2 linked regions of the Arabidopsis thaliana genome follow. The protein of the gene in region 1 purifies or fractionates together with the protein of each later gene. This does not show direct contact. Each region holds a gene or a part of one and is shown in the gene's direction. Other genes may lie near its edges. The genes, in order: OEP80 and TIC110.

Evidence for each region.
Region 2: the proteins of OEP80 (region 1) and TIC110 purify together in Arabidopsis thaliana (affinity purification with western blotting; 2 studies listed by BioGRID, with this or other methods). This does not show direct contact.

Annotation. Positions count from the first base shown.
Region 1 is NC_003076.8:6,621,265-6,628,628, forward strand, and holds OEP80 (outer envelope protein of 80 kDa), read left to right. Parts: upstream 1-1,932; 5' UTR 1,933-2,058; coding exon 2,059-2,766; intron 2,767-2,859; coding exon 2,860-2,953; intron 2,954-3,327; coding exon 3,328-3,410; intron 3,411-3,518; coding exon 3,519-3,616; intron 3,617-3,757; coding exon 3,758-3,827; intron 3,828-4,104; coding exon 4,105-4,198; intron 4,199-4,378; coding exon 4,379-4,460; intron 4,461-4,546; coding exon 4,547-4,582; intron 4,583-4,685; coding exon 4,686-4,839; intron 4,840-4,913; coding exon 4,914-5,054; intron 5,055-5,230; coding exon 5,231-5,301; intron 5,302-5,422; coding exon 5,423-5,501; intron 5,502-5,577; coding exon 5,578-5,693; intron 5,694-5,810; coding exon 5,811-5,958; intron 5,959-6,041; coding exon 6,042-6,111; intron 6,112-6,222; coding exon 6,223-6,377; 3' UTR 6,378-6,630; downstream 6,631-7,364. Other genes in the region: GNL2 (GNOM-like 2), read right to left, coding at 1-208, 296-781; AT5G19630 (alpha/beta-Hydrolases superfamily protein), read right to left, coding at 6,883-7,205. UniProt on the Arabidopsis thaliana protein: Plays an essential role during early stages of plastid development.
Region 2 is NC_003070.9:2,129,496-2,137,765, reverse strand, and holds TIC110 (translocon at the inner envelope membrane of chloroplasts 110), read left to right. Parts: upstream 1-2,062; 5' UTR 2,063-2,202; coding exon 2,203-2,726; intron 2,727-2,809; coding exon 2,810-2,869; intron 2,870-2,954; coding exon 2,955-3,078; intron 3,079-3,184; coding exon 3,185-3,253; intron 3,254-3,347; coding exon 3,348-3,446; intron 3,447-3,575; coding exon 3,576-3,642; intron 3,643-3,960; coding exon 3,961-4,025; intron 4,026-4,102; coding exon 4,103-4,197; intron 4,198-4,627; coding exon 4,628-4,755; intron 4,756-4,828; coding exon 4,829-4,929; intron 4,930-5,070; coding exon 5,071-5,287; intron 5,288-5,593; coding exon 5,594-5,748; intron 5,749-5,902; coding exon 5,903-6,028; intron 6,029-6,134; coding exon 6,135-7,106; intron 7,107-7,214; coding exon 7,215-7,463; 3' UTR 7,464-7,713; downstream 7,714-8,270. Other genes in the region: AT1G06960 (RNA-binding (RRM/RBD/RNP motifs) family protein), read right to left, coding at 233-502, 620-699, 802-895, 1,179-1,351, 1,764-1,836; AT1G06930 (TPRXL), read right to left, coding at 8,094-8,270. UniProt on the Arabidopsis thaliana protein: Involved in protein precursor import into chloroplasts. Forms a voltage-dependent cation-selective channel at the inner envelope of chloroplasts, which specifically responds to a transit peptide.

The DNA of each region.
Region 1 (7,364 bases):
CGATTTCGTCAGTATCAGATTCTGAATCCTCACCACCTTCGTCTCCTCTGACCTCAAAATCAGGTAATCTGGAGAAAATGATCTGAATCAGCTCATGCATTGTGTATCTTCCATTTCGTTGCAGCAAATCTCCTCTACCGGTAGATTGTTGCACTACTTGGAAACATGTATTGACTATTGTGCAAACCGCTTGATCTTCTAATAACTCCTGTTTTAATACATAACTTATTATTACTGTCTTAAAAGAGGACAAAATAAACATTTGTAGTAAAAAGATTATAGTTAATGAACGTACAGAGGATGGATGTTTCATGATTCCGGTTAAAACTTGAAGAATCCTCATCATTACAGCATCTTCAGACACCAAATCTGTTTTCTCCAAACGACAACTAGTAATCCCGGAGACAATAGAATTCATAGCATCTTTTGCACCAGGTGTTTTCTCATCGAAGATCTCGATTTTAAGGATCTTTAAGATGGAGGAAAGAGCGACAGCTGTGGCGCTAGCCGGAATCTCATCGCTTTGAATAACTTCGAGGAAAGGAGAAAGATAAACCGAAGGATCTATGGTGCGCCAATCTTGTTGAGGATTGAAAATAAGAGCTCTAAGAGATTTGAGAGATTGTTGGACTGATGAATCACAGTGGTCTGTTTCTTGGGGAGAAAGGTAACTTTCTGAAAGGGGTCTACGAATGACGGCAAGGACTGCACCAACCTCCGTGTTAAGCATGCATGATATCCCTAGCTCTTTCCGCTTTGCTCTTACGGCGATACGATCCATTTCTCACCTTATCACACTCTTCTTGCCGATAAAGAAGAAAAATCATTCAGCAACTGTTTTTTTTGTTGTTCTTCGTTTTTATTCTTTATGTGTACGGTGTTGCCTTGCCTTGGTTTGATCCTATATTTAGTATATAAGTTTTAGTGGCTGAGACTCAGTGATGGGTGAGTTTCAACCATTTGTCATCACACATCTAGGAAAACTCCATCATCAGCTACCGTCAATTTCTTTAAGGCTTAAGATAGAAAACTAATGTACGTTCTGCAAAAATTCAGATTTAAGGATACATTATTTGGATCAAACGTATGTGTTCAAGGTTTTTTTTTCTTCTTCTTTTAAAGTAGAAGCAAACTCTACGATGATTGGAGTGGAAACCATTTTTGTAGGATTAGGCCTCTTCATACTGATCTGAGTCAGACTTTGCATAGCTGAAGTTTTTTTCCTCTACTATTCAATTAACCAGTAGAGAAAAACTGACGCTTAAGAGGTTAATGGAGCTTAAATTTTACCAAATTCAGACCATAACTCTATTTATGTACTGGTCCTAGTGTTTCCAAGAGAATATATCTCTCAGCTTAAATTTTACTAAAATTCAGACCATAACTTATTTATGTACTGGTCCTAATAAGATGAATGTTTTAAGGGTTTATGGCTTGCTTAAGAAGAGCCAAAACTCTCTATAATTAACAAGTCTAAAATTGACAAAATTAATATAATTGGTTTTGTTACATGTTTGTGACCATAACTACTAAAAAAATTCACAGAAAAACTATTCAATAATCCTTGTTTGTTCATGTGTGTGATCTATTAATCAATAAAATCAAGAAAATGGATAGGAGAAATCAACTAACGTTTTTTTCTCAAAAATCTATTTATTTATTTTGATTAACATGTTTTGAACGTTAGTTAACTAATTTACCCTACAAAAAACTAATTTACCGTCAAATAAATGAGAAATCCCCTTAATGAGAAATTGATTATTTTCCAAAATATTTATTTGACGCAATTTTATTTTCATTTTTGAAAATCCAGTAATTTTACAAAACCTAATAATATACTCAAAGGAATGTTTACATAAAACATTCAAAAAAATAATTTGTTTTTTGTTTGTTCGTAAATGGGCTTTAACATCACCTCCTTTTCACTCTATCATCTTCTACTCCGAGTCTCCGAATCAAAAAAAACCCTAGCTCTTATTTTTTGTTCTTAGATTTTATCTCTTAAGCTCTTCTTCTTCCTTGACATTTCCTCAATTTCACTCCCGAGTACGATTAACAATGCATTGTCACAACGATGATGTTCGCTTCTCTTCATCTTCTATCAGAATCCATTCTCCATCTCCCAAAGAACAACACTCTTTACTCACCAATCTCCAATCCTGCTCTAAAACCTTCGTCTCTCACCTCTCAAATACTCGTAACTCACTAAACCAAATGCTCCAGTCGCTAAAGAATCGCCACACTCCTCCTCCACGTTCGGTTCGTCGTCCCAATTTACCGACTCAGATGCTCAATTCAGTAACCCAGCTTATGATTGGGAAGTCTTCTCCAATTTCATTGTCTCTTATCCAATCCACCCAATTCAATTGGTCTGAATCAAGAGATGAGAACGTTGAGACAATCCGTGGACTAAGCTCGCCTCTGCTCTGTTGTGCCTCTTTGTCTCTAACTAGACCTAACGAGTCGACTCAGTCAGTGGAAGGGAAGGATACAGTACAGCAGCAGAAGGGTCACTCGGTGAGTCGAAATGCGGAGGAACGAGTTCTGATTAGTGAGGTTTTAGTAAGAACGAAAGATGGTGAGGAACTTGAGAGGAAGGATTTGGAAATGGAGGCATTGGCTGCTTTGAAAGCTTGTAGAGCTAATTCAGCGTTGACTATTCGTGAGGTACAGGAGGATGTACATAGGATTATAGAAAGTGGGTACTTTTGCTCTTGTACTCCTGTTGCTGTTGATACACGAGACGGGATTCGGTTGATGTTTCAGGTAATATTTTGATTGTTACTCTTTTTGTTGGAGGAGAAAGGTCTCGTTTTTATGTTTCTGGGATGCAAATAATTCTCATTTTCTTGCCATAAGGTAGAACCAAACCAAGAATTTCGTGGGTTAGTCTGTGAAAATGCAAATGTTCTTCCTTCCAAGTTCATACATGAAGCTTTCCGAGATGGGTTTGGTACGTATCCTCCAATTTAGCTTGTTTTTTTTTCTTCTGTACTGTACTAGACTTATCTGTCAATTCATTGATTTACGTTGGGAGTAAAATGGATTAATGATATTGGAACCTGACAAATATTTCGAGTACTAATGATGAAGCTAAGAATTTTCTAACACATGGTGTAAAATGTGTTAGCCTTGAATGAAGAAGATAGATTAGAGGTAGGTAGTATTCTCAAAATGTATCCATGCTCCAAAACAGAGCATAATTTGAAGTTGCATTTAGTTTACACATATTAATGTATTGAGGCTAGTTAGGTGGATTCCTTCTGTTCGGTGTGTGTTTGATTGGAGAGGGTAATGGTTAGTAAATGTTGGTGTCAAGCTGTGTAGGGAAAGTGATTAATATTAAGAGACTGGAAGAAGCTATTACATCCATCAATGGATGGTACATGGAGCGTGGTCTTTTCGGAATTGTAAGTGCTCTTTTTACACCATAATTACTTTTTCAAAAAAAAAAATCATCCTGGATTCAGTCTTATACTTTGTGGTTAGAATCATCATTCTGTTGTCTGCCATTGTAGGTTTCAGATATTGATACGCTTTCTGGAGGTATAGTAAGGCTTCAGGTTGCTGAAGCAGAGGTTAACAACATATCCATCCGATTCCTTGATCGTAAGACGTAAGCTGGTGCCAATCCCTCCCTTATGAATGTAGTTTATATTGGTTTAAATTGTAGGCAATTCTGGATGGCACTGGTAGCTTCCTTTTATTTCAACTATTAGATTACGATTTCATTGATAATGGTGCCTTCTATATTTAGTGGGGAACCAACTAAAGGGAAGACTAGCCCTGAGACAATACTACGGCAACTTACAACAAAGAAGGGACAGGTATTTTTTGGGCATTTCTCAGCTTAGATGTAAAGATAAGTCGCTGACTAAAACATCATAAACTATCTGAGCTGTATTTTTATGCTAAATAACACTTCTGAGTGCATCATCTGTGTATGAAATCCTTTGGAGATCTTATTTTTAATTAAGGTTAATCACTCTTTATGGTATCATGTATGTTTCTTCGTAAAATTTGGCCTTAAAGTCTTTATGCATGAGCGTCTAAGTAGGGCCTCTACATACACATCTTGTCTAATCTGGCTTTTGGTCAATTTAGGTCTACAGCATGCTTCAAGGGAAGAGGGATGTAGACACTGTGCTAGCCATGGGAATCATGGAAGATGTTAGTATTATTCCTCAACCTGCAGGAGGTGTGTAAATATATTTCTTTCTTTTCAGCTAATACTTTTAATTTTCATCTTGTGCTTAAGGTGCAGTAGTATGAGTGAAGAAAGTATTTTCCTTGCTTATCCTTAGGCACAGTAACAAAAGGTTTTGACAGTGTCTGATTCTGAAACTTTCTTCTTTTCCTTGTTTTTTATTCCTGTTAGATAGTGGGAAGGTTGATTTGATCATGAACTGTGTCGAGCGTCCCAGTGGAGGCTTCTCTGCTGGTGGTGGGATATCTAGTGGGTAAGTTTTAGTTTGTTTGCTACTTACAGCGATTCAATTTTTTTCTTTTGTAGCTTGATGACAACTTTTGTCCAATTCTTTTGTAGGATCACAAGTGGCCCCCTATCAGGATTAATTGGAAGGTAAAAGTAATGTATATTTTATTTGTAATGATTTTTTTTTTATTTCTGGCCTAGGCTGTGTGTATTACATTACTGATGTAGTTGAAGTAATCATTTTATGCAGCTTCGCTTATTCCCACCGCAATCTGTTTGGAAGAAACCAGAAGCTTAATGTTTCCTTAGAGAGGGGTCAAATTGACTCTATATTTCGTATAAACTACACTGATCCATGGATTGAAGGAGATGACAAGAGGACGTCCAGATCTATTATGGTTCAGGTAACACCTTTACTGGTTATCTCAATGAGATTGCTGAGATGACTAATAAACTAATGAACTTCATCTTGAGTTAGAATTCAAGAACACCGGGGAATCTTGTTCACGGCAATCAACCAGACAATAGTAGTCTCACAATTGGTCGGGTTACAGCAGGTGTTGAATACAGTCGTCCATTCAGGCCAAAGTGGAATGGTACTGCTGGACTTATATTTCAGGTCTCTACTGTTCCCAATATTTTCTAAGTTTCTGTACCAATCCAGAGTAATATTGGTGTTAAAGCAATTAAAATATATGTTCTTGTCGTTTCTGACTAGATCCAAACTGGTAAATTTTTTACTTTTTGACCAATATATACGTTACCCTTAATTTCGTTTTGAATTTCATGTTTCAGCATGCTGGTGCTCGTGATGAACAAGGAAACCCTATCATTAAGGACTTCTACAGTAGCCCTCTAACTGCAAGGTATATATATGTCCCAATTCCCAAAGAATGATTTGTCTTTGGTTCTGCTCACTGTTTTCACCAATGCTGTATTTGGCCATATGAATTTGATAGATGCCATTATTAATGTTTTCTCATGCAGTGGTAAGCCCCATGATGAGACCATGCTAGCAAAACTTGAAAGCATTTATACTGGCTCAGGTGACCAAGGATCAACGATGGTCAGTCTGATACCTCTGTTGGTACATCTTCCCCTTCTTTTTTCAGTGCCTAATTCTATCTGTATTTTTATACCAGTTTGCGTTTAACATGGAACAAGGGCTTCCTGTTTTGCCCGAATGGTTATGTTTCAATCGAGTGACTGGACGTGCCAGGAAAGGCATACACATTGGACCAGCTCGTTTCCTTTTTAGGTATGCTAACTTCCTTTGAGGCATATAATTTTCTTGAGGTCTCTATTTACCTTTTGGGATTCGAATCATCATTTCTAAAGTTTTATATAGTGTATCTTACCTTGTTCATGTTTATAGTCTGTCTGGTGGACATGTGGTGGGAAAATTTTCACCTCATGAAGCATTCGTCATCGGTGGAACAAACAGCGTAAGAGGTTACGAAGAGGGCGCTGTAGGATCTGGTCGGTCATATGTAGTTGGTTCAGGGGAGCTGTCTTTCCCAGTGGTGGGTTTTTCTTTGAACATTCCTAAGATCTCATTTCACAATGGTGTAAAAATCATGACTCTCATTCTTACCCTATTGTGCAGAGAGGACCGGTCGAAGGCGTCATTTTTACAGATTATGGCACTGATATGGGATCAGGATCCACCGTCCCAGGTACAGACTAGGCTTTCGTTTTTTTTTTCTCCTTCTGAGCCTTTCCATATATGCTTGTAATAGCTTTAGAATCTCAGGGAACCTTCATCTTTGTTATTTTCTGCCCTTTAGGTGATCCTGCGGGGGCAAGACTGAAGCCCGGAAGCGGTTATGGATATGGTTTAGGGGTGCGTGTTGATTCCCCGTTGGGGCCGCTACGCCTTGAATATGCCTTCAACGATCAACATGCGGGAAGGTTTCACTTTGGGGTTGGTCTGCGGAACTAAATTTTCCTGTTTCTTTTTTAGATTCGATAAGTGTTTTGTCGGCCTTTGTCGCACATTCATCTAGATGATGCTTGTCTATTTTGATAATTTATATCATCTTATGTAACTCACTGTTTTGTGAGTGGTTTGTGCATGGAGAGAGATGTCGCGTATGAATGCTTTTCATGTAGATGATTTTCATTTTACCAAACTCCCAGTTAAAATTATTAATAGAACCAAGATTAGGATTTTTATTCTTCATCCTAGTATGAACCTGATTTGTCTCCTTAGGATGTCACATGATCGTGAGCAAACTCTTCTCGATGCAATTGCAAAGCTTGAAGAAATGTCCGATAGAGTGATAATAACTCAACATATGAAAACAAGTCTTTTAGTGCGTAGTGTACAGGGACATCAAACTCCTATCGTGCTAGTAAAGATTTATCCAAGTAATTTCCGGACATACACCAACGTAGTTCGACGAGGATGTAATAATCCCCTAAGGTCTATCTTTTCATGTGGTATTTTACAGGGATGAAATAAATTTACATATAATATCGGTCACCTGAGAATCATATTCAGGTCCTTCCATCTGGAAATGACTAACGCCTTCAATGAGGTGTGTTTCAGTGCGTCCGACTGCAGATTTCAGCTTCTTCTTTAGCTGGCTAACGCTAGTGAACCCGTCTTGTGTTCCCATTACGAAGAGTTTGGGTTTAGGGGATGAGAGAATGGCCTTGTGGTGTCGCCCAAAGAGAATCGAGGCCATTAGGCCAAATGGGTATCCCAAACTCACATATCCCACCACTTGCTCTACTTGCTCCACCGCTGATCCTGCGATTGGTGCACCTGCCAAAGAGTCAAAACTTCAATTATTTTTCCTTTAACCAATATAAAGAAGTTGGCATGAGATATCAAATTTGTCTCAGAATATTCATTTGAAAAGTAATGTGATCACTTCATCCATTAAACACGTCATATCAGAAAGTTAGTCGGTCACTATGATCA
Region 2 (8,270 bases), on another chromosome or scaffold:
AATTCGTGGTTTTAGTTCCCCCAAAGTCCTAATAATAATAAGGCATTTAAAATGAGATTTTCTCCAACCAAATCACTCTCAATTCTTCGATCTCATTACATTCTGGTCTAAAGCTTCGGGGTCATTCACACCACTAATCGGAAACGAACCAAATAAAATAAGACAGTTTGCTTTTAAACAGCTACTAATTAGTATATCATTACCATTCATCCGCATAACAAAACTCTGGTTTTCACTTCTTGGCAAAAGAGACGACCATTGGATTCTGCGGAGTGATCTTGAAACCCTGAAGAGCCTGCATGGCCATGGAAGACTGAACATCGTCTTCATACTCCACAAACGCAATTCCGGGTTTTGCTTCGATCATTCTTATCTCTTTGAATCCTGGGTATTGCTCAAAGAGCAGCTGAAGCATCATACTATTCGTCTCAATGGGAAGATTATGAATGAAGAGTATGTTGTTTGGTGGCATCGTGTCTTGCCCACTCGGCTGGAAAGGAGGCTGTGAAATTACAGAGACGGGTATTAGGAAACAAGGATTTACAGACTAAGTTGCGATAATGACGTCTGTCAGAAGATAATATTGTATTGTTGGAATGATGCGAGAAAGAGAAATTGCCACAGGCATTCCGTTCTGAGTAGTTGCGCCATTAGGCATGCTTGGTTGTTGAGTTTCTTCAGCATGTCGCTTCCTTTCAACTGAAAGTGATGTGCAGTTTTGTTAAACATCAGATGCGAAGTAAAACACAGATGAAATGAGCTGAAAAGATCTGAACTTGTGATGGAAACGAAAGTTTAAACCTTTCTCTTCTTGCTTCATCTTCTTTTCTTTTGGAACAAAAGACCCTTCGGCTTTAGTAACATAATCTGACTTTGATTTTGCATATTGTATCCGCTGCACCCACAGAGATCACACATCACGATTTGAATAATAATATTGCATTTAGCTTTTTCTAGTCTTTTACTTAGTAATCACTTGTGTAATGATATACCCTCAACATCTAATGTCGTTGTACTTCCTTCAATTTTATATAACAACAAGTATCAGCAAGCAAACTCAATTTTCCCTCCAAGTAAATCTCTGCAACTTTCTAAGCTTATAGTCTCACATAACAAGATAAAATCATTTTTCGGTAGCGGGATAGATAAACCTGGAACATAAGAGAGGAAAAAGGTACCATAGGCTTATCATAGAAAGGAAAGTTCTGCATCTGACGGACAGCGTTGCTAGCAGCGGTGACTTCAGTAAAAACAACCCATGCTTGTCCCCGGAGCTTAGGAGTCTTTAACGCAACCACATCAAGTAATCTTCCAAACTGAGAGAACAAACAGTAAAGAGACCTCTTCAGCTCTGAAAAAAACAAGTGGAAACATTAAACAATGATCTGCTTGAACAGCATTACTCTTAGACAAACAAAAGCAGCAGCTAAAGAACTTAAGGTCATTGACTTCAATCAAACAATCTAAACAAATTTCATGGCAAAAGCAATCGCCTTTCCTACTTAATTACTTAAATAAAGCACCTTTGTTAGAGTATCTCTAGTTCAGGTCTATTAAGATTAGACAGAAATTCTAAATCCCTAATACTTAGAAAGATAACTCTAAATGCATCTAATCTAACCTTCGTAAACATCAAATTAAGCAACTTTAAACTCAGACAACTCATTCAAGAGAAGCTCACACAAGCATTACCAAGCTACTTAAGCATTGCAAAAACTCTTAGAAAATCACCGATGCAATTATATGAATTTCGTAAGCATTACCTTCTTTCTTGATCTTCTCATTGATATGTTTTATGTAGATTGACTGATTTGGTGGTATATCAGCCGTTAACATCTTTCAACTGAGCTCCGCGAAGACGACGATGGTCGATGGTCACAGCCCTGAGAAAATTTAGCGAGCCCTAAGAGCCAAGAAGAGAGAAGAAATCGTGGCGTTTCCAATTTACACAAGGCGTCTAATTTGTTTTTTTATGTAAACATCTTACCGTTACCGAAGAGTAAAACAACACGTAGTTTTATAATATTATTAAAAAACGTCTGGACGTTCGAAAGGGGATTTTGATGTTTTGTTAGGCCCTATCTCTTTCCCCTTTTCTTCGTTCGCATCTCTATCTTCTTCCGTTGTCTACTGTTTTTCGTTAAACCCTACGATTCTTCTTTTTTTCAACGACTGCTCGGATCTTTCTCAGTAGAGGGAACCATGAATCCCTCACTCGTCACCGCCATTAACGCTCCAATTTCACCTTCTCCTCGGTCTCCTCTTCTTTCTCACTTCCTACCTACTTTACCTCACCGTTTCTCCAAGTCTGAGTGTCTATCTCGCCGTCGTTATCGAGTTTCGTTCCCTCGTAGCTCAGCTGCTTCCTCCGACCAACTATCAGTATCTACGCAGGCGAAGAATCCCGGTATCCATGGGAATAAGAAGGAGCTCACTGGATTGCAACCGATTGTTGAGAAAATGACACCGCCGGTGAGGCTAGCGACTTCAGCTGTTGTATTAGCGGCGTCTTTAGCTACTGGTTACGGCCTTGGGCTCCGTTTAGCCGGCTCCAGGAATATTGCCTTTGGTGGGGCTGCTGTTGCTGGAGCCGCCGGTGGAGCTGTCGTATATGCGTTGAACTCTGCTGTACCGGAGGTAGCTGCTATCAGTTTGCATAATTATGTTGCCGAATTCGAAGATCCTGCCTCTGTGACGAAAGATGATGTAGAAAAGATCGCTGATAGGTGAGTGCTTCATTTAATTGTCAATTTGTGTCTGGGATTTATAAACAAAAGTTTGCTTAAACGATCCTTCTTATATGTTGCAGGTACGGTGTCAACAAAGGAGACGAAGCATTCCAGGCTGAGATTTGTGATATTTATTGCCGGTGAGTCAACAAAGGATACTGTGTTCATCTTTTCTCTTAGTGTGGGGAATTCATTAGTAATCTTTGCATCTTAATCTTGATTTAGGTATGTAACTTCCGTGCTTCCAACTGAAGGACAGTCTCTTAAAGGGGATGAAGTGGCGAAGATAGTCAAGTTCAAAAATGCTTTAGGGATAGACGAACCTGATGCAGCTGCCATGCACATGGAGGTGCTTTCTAGATTCTTAATCTTCATTTGAATTAGCCGTTAGCCTTTTTGTAGTTGATGCAGAAGGATCTTGATTGCTGAATCACCAATTCCTTGGTTTTGTTTAGATTGGTCGCAGGATTTTTAGGCAAAGGCTTGAGACTGGGGAGCGTGAAGGTGATGCAGAACAGCGTCGGGTGAGTCGCCAGTCCCTAGTATTTGTTAAGTTTATTGTAGGATTGTTCGAAAGAGAGCACAAGCGTGATCACAAGTTGTATGCTTCCAGTGCAGGCATTTATGAGGCTTGTATATGTTTCAGCTCTTGTGTTTGGAGATGCTTCATCCTTCCTTCTACCTTGGAAGCGAGTATTGAAGGTCACAGATGCTCAGGTAGGCATTTCCAATTTTTTTCATACTTCTGATTTTGCGCAATAGTTGTTTTATGGAAGTTTCATTTTGGCAACTCACTCCTTCTTGGTAATCTGAAGTTCTGTGCTAATGTCTTGACCTCATTTCTAGGTTGAGATTGCTATTCGTGAAAATGCAAAGCAGCTGTATGCCGAACGGTTAAAATTAGTTGGTAGAGGTAATGTTGTTCATGTTTTACATTTTGAGATGGGAAGTAATGTTACATTTGTAGAACGGGTTTGAGTTTGCTTGACTTGGTTATATTGATTATTGTGGCACTTCTTTGTCCATTGGGTTTTGTAATATTCGTTTATCAGCAAGTTGTCTGAATACCAACCTTAATTGTTACTTCGCATGCGACTGTAATGGTCCCTTCTCATTTAACATTGATAATAGATATGGCTTTTTGACAACCAAAAAAAGATATGACTTAGCTTTTTCGTCAGCTTAATGCATGGAAACTTACATGGTTATGTTTCTAAACATGTTCTTGCAGATATTAACGTAGAAAACCTTGTGGACCTTAGAAAATCACAACTATCATTCAAGCTCTCTGATGAGGTACTCTATTTCTTTGTGGCATTGACTTCCTGCTATCTCTGGTTGTACTTCTTCTGACAGTTTCTTCTCCCTCATAGCTTGCTGAAGACCTGTTTAGAGAGCATACGAGAAAAGTAGTCGTAGAGAACATTTCATCGGCACTCAGCATACTCAAATCCCGCACACGAGCAGCGTAAATCATTTTAACATATTGCTTACAGAATCATGCATAGAAAAATCGTATAGAATAATCATTATCCATGTGAACAGTTTGGTTACACATTTAACTTTTTTATTTCTTATACCAATGAGTTATGACTTTAGCTGGGTATATGTATTCCTTTGCTTGAACATTGAGTTTGGTCGGGTTGAAAAAAGAGATTGAAGTTTTGGCTTTAGTTTTGAGTTTTGGTTATTGCAAAAACTGATTGGTCATATGATCTCTTTTGCTTTTGTGAATTGTCTTATAGTATAAGTATTTAAAAAAAAGTCATGAGATTTTAATTTTATAGGCGTTTTTGTATCTTGTGATAATTAATAGTGGAAACAAATTGGATCATCTAGTATGTCTAGTTTATAGTAGTTTACAATGCATGTCATTTTAACGACCTGATTTTTTCCAGGAAGAGTTTGGCATCTGTCGTGGAAGAGCTTGAAAAAGTACTGGAGTTTAACAACCTGCTAGTTTCCTTGAAAAGTCATTCAGAGGCAGATCAATTTGCACGCGGGGTTGGCCCTATTTCTTTGATAGGTGAAGATGCTTTTGACCTTCTCTTTTCTGAAGAAAAATTATTGGCTCTCAACCTTGGATCTATGTGGCTTAGGTGATGAGTCTGATTTTGAGAGGAGAATGGATGATTTAAAGCTCCTTTATAGAGCATATGTTACAGATGCTTTATCTGGTGGGCGCTTAGAAGAAAATAAGGTATACTCAGTTTTGTATAAGATATTATGTACTAAAGCTTAGTTGCAAGTTTTTTTGAGAGTAAGTGTTTTCAGATGCTGTGTCCTCTATCCCAGTCGCATGTTTTTTTCCATTTCTAATTGTCTTTCTACTGTATGGTAGCTCGTGGCAATGAGCCAACTTAGAAACATACTCGGTCTGGGAAAACGAGAGGCTGAAGCTATTAGTGTTGATGTTACGTCCAAGTCTTACCGTAAAAGACTTGCTAACGCTGTTTCTAGTGGTGACCTTGAAGCACAAGACAGTAAAGCAAAATACCTTCAAAAGCTCTGCGAAGAGCTGCACTTTGATGCACAGAAGGCAGGCGCAATCCATGAAGGTATAAGCCGAACCTTCTGTTCACAATGAAATCTTATGTTTTTATGTTATGCATGAGGTATACAGTTGGAATTGCCACATAATCGCCCAAATGTAAGATGTGTCCATGGGTATCAATTTAGTTGATGGCTTGTAAACTTGCGGGTTCCTTATCCTTTTAAGCTAGCTTTTAGTGTTGTAGATTTGGTTCTTAACAGACTTCTAACAAGTCTGGTGTTTCAGTGGGTTACATGCTGTTATTTTACAGTTTGAGTATCTATTTGGTCTTTTTTTCCCAATCATCTGACAAGCACCTTCTCTTCCTCAGAAATCTATCGGCAGAAGCTTCAACAGTGTGTTACTGATGGAGAGCTGAGCGATGACAATGTTGCTGCTTTATTAAGGTTAAGAGTTATGTTGTGTATTCCCCAGCAAACTGTTGATACAGCTCATGCAGAAATCTGTGGAACCATATTTGAAAAGGTAATCCAGTTATCACCTCCCTTTTCCCTTTATCAAGGGTTTTTTCATGGTCTTGGGTCTTGGCACTGCAATTTCCCTCTGCTTCCCTCTCTGCCTTCGCATTTTGTTACCAAAAGGTTTTACCTCTAATTACCTTTTTGTTTAATCTTTCCAGGTTGTCAGGGATGCCATTTCTTCTGGAGTGGATGGTTATGATGCTGAAACTCGCAAATCAGTTAGAAAGGCTGCACATGGTCTTCGGTTATCCAGAGAGACTGCCATGTCTATTGCTAGCAAAGCTGTGAGTATCACACTATTTACTTTCTCCATGCTTGGTATTAGGATTTGTTAAAATTTTCTGACTTCTCATAGCAAGACATGAAAATCAAATCCCTTCATTGATGCAGGTCCGTAGGGTTTTCACAAACTATATCAGACGAGCAAGAGCAGCCGAGAACCGTACTGATTCAGCAAAGGAGCTCAAGAAGATGATTGCTTTCAACACGTTGGTTGTGACTGAAATGGTGGCTGATATCAAGGGAGAATCTTCTGATAAGGCACCTGAGGAGGACCCTGTTCAAGAGAAAGAAGAAGATGATGAAGATGAAGAATGGGGATCCCTTGAATCGCTCAGAAAGACAAGACCCGACAAGGAACTCGCTGAGAAAATGGGAAAGCCTGGCCAGACTGAGATAACTCTCAAAGATGACCTTCCCGACAGGGACAGAATAGATCTCTACAAAACATACTTGCTCTACTGTGTAACTGGAGAGGTAACAAGAATCCCTTTTGGCGCCCAGATCACAACAAAGAGAGACGATTCAGAGTACTTGCTTCTAAATCAGCTTGGTGGGATTCTCGGATTGAGTTCGAAAGAAATAGTCAACATTCACGTAGGTTTAGCCGAGCAGGCTTTTAGGCAACAAGCTGAAGTGATTTTAGCTGATGGGCAATTGACAAAGGCTAGAGTAGAGCAGCTAGACGAGTTGCAAAAACAAGTTGGTTTGCCTCAGCCACAAGCCGAGAAGGTTATCAAGAATATAACCACCACAAAAATGGCAAACGCGATAGAGACCGCTGTTAACCAAGGAAGACTGAACATAAAGCAGATACGGGAGCTCAAGGAGGCAAATGTCAGCCTGGACAGCATGATCGCTGTGAGTCTGAGAGAGAAATTATTCAAGAAGACAGTGAGTGACATCTTCTCATCAGGAACTGGTGAATTCGATGAAACCGAAGTCTACCAGACAATCCCATCCGATCTCAGTATTGATGTGGAAAAAGCCAAAAGAGTTGTCCATGATCTCGCTCAGAGTAGATTATCGAATTCGCTGGTCCAAGCCGTGGCATTACTCAGGCAGAGAAACTCTAAAGGAGTGGTATGCAAATCATCTTTTCCCTCTCTTATCGTGACAGAAAACATGGATATTTCAGCTTCTGGGTCTAAATTGTGTATGTATGTATGCTTTTTTTTTTTGGTTTTACAGGTCTTGTCGCTGAATGATTTGCTTGCATGTGACAAAGCTGTGCCGGCTGAGCCAATGTCATGGGAGGTCTCAGAGGAATTATCTGATCTATATGCTATTTATTCAAAGAGTGATCCCAAACCCGCACCGGAAAAAGTTTTGAGGCTACAATATCTGCTGGGAATAGATGATTCAACTGCAACTGCCCTCCGTGAAATGGAAGATGGAGCATTATCTTCTGCTGCAGAAGAGGGCAATTTCGTCTTTTAAATCTTTGGAGAAATCACTTGAGTTATTATGTATTGTGTTACGGCCGAGGGTGGAAAAATGATTTTGAATTTGAAATTTGACCAAAGTCTGTGAAAATTTTGTATCAGAACCATAAACTTGATATGATTAATTTGAAAATCTGCAAACGAGAAGTGTATCCCTTATACAATTTAGAGCGCAGCTTTGAAGTGCTCATGTGGTGTCACGTGACGGGTGTTCCCGCATAACGAACCTAAAAAATAGAATAACAGTTAATTCAATCATTGAGAACTTTTTTTTTAATGAAATGATTTGACCGTAACACCGTAAGTGAAAGTTAATTGTTAATTCTATGGTGGTCTCACATGACTGCACACAACTAGAACAATACTCAACAATCAACATGTATACTAGATCTGATCTCGTTATAGTATGTTTTTGTCGAAATTTCTAATTATACAAAAGCACGTCTTTTAAAGACAAAAATAGAAGCCATATGATCCAATCAATTGATTCATAGAGATGATGATATGAATCGATGAAACATAGTTTTTAGAAATTATTTCCAAGATTACAAAAAAAGAAAAAAAAGAAGTGAAAATTAATAAGAAAATAGGAGAGAGTTAAATATAAGAAAAAAGGCAGAATCATTTAACATGATCTGAGCAACACCTTGACAAGGGAAGCGTAACATCCAGAAGATTTAGCACTATTCGATCCGTAGTCTAAACTCGAACCAGATTCAAACCACATTGATCTTCTTCTGTTGCTTAAATCAGATGTCCTCAATGGAGAAGATGGAACTGAAGACGAGGACGACGAAGAAGA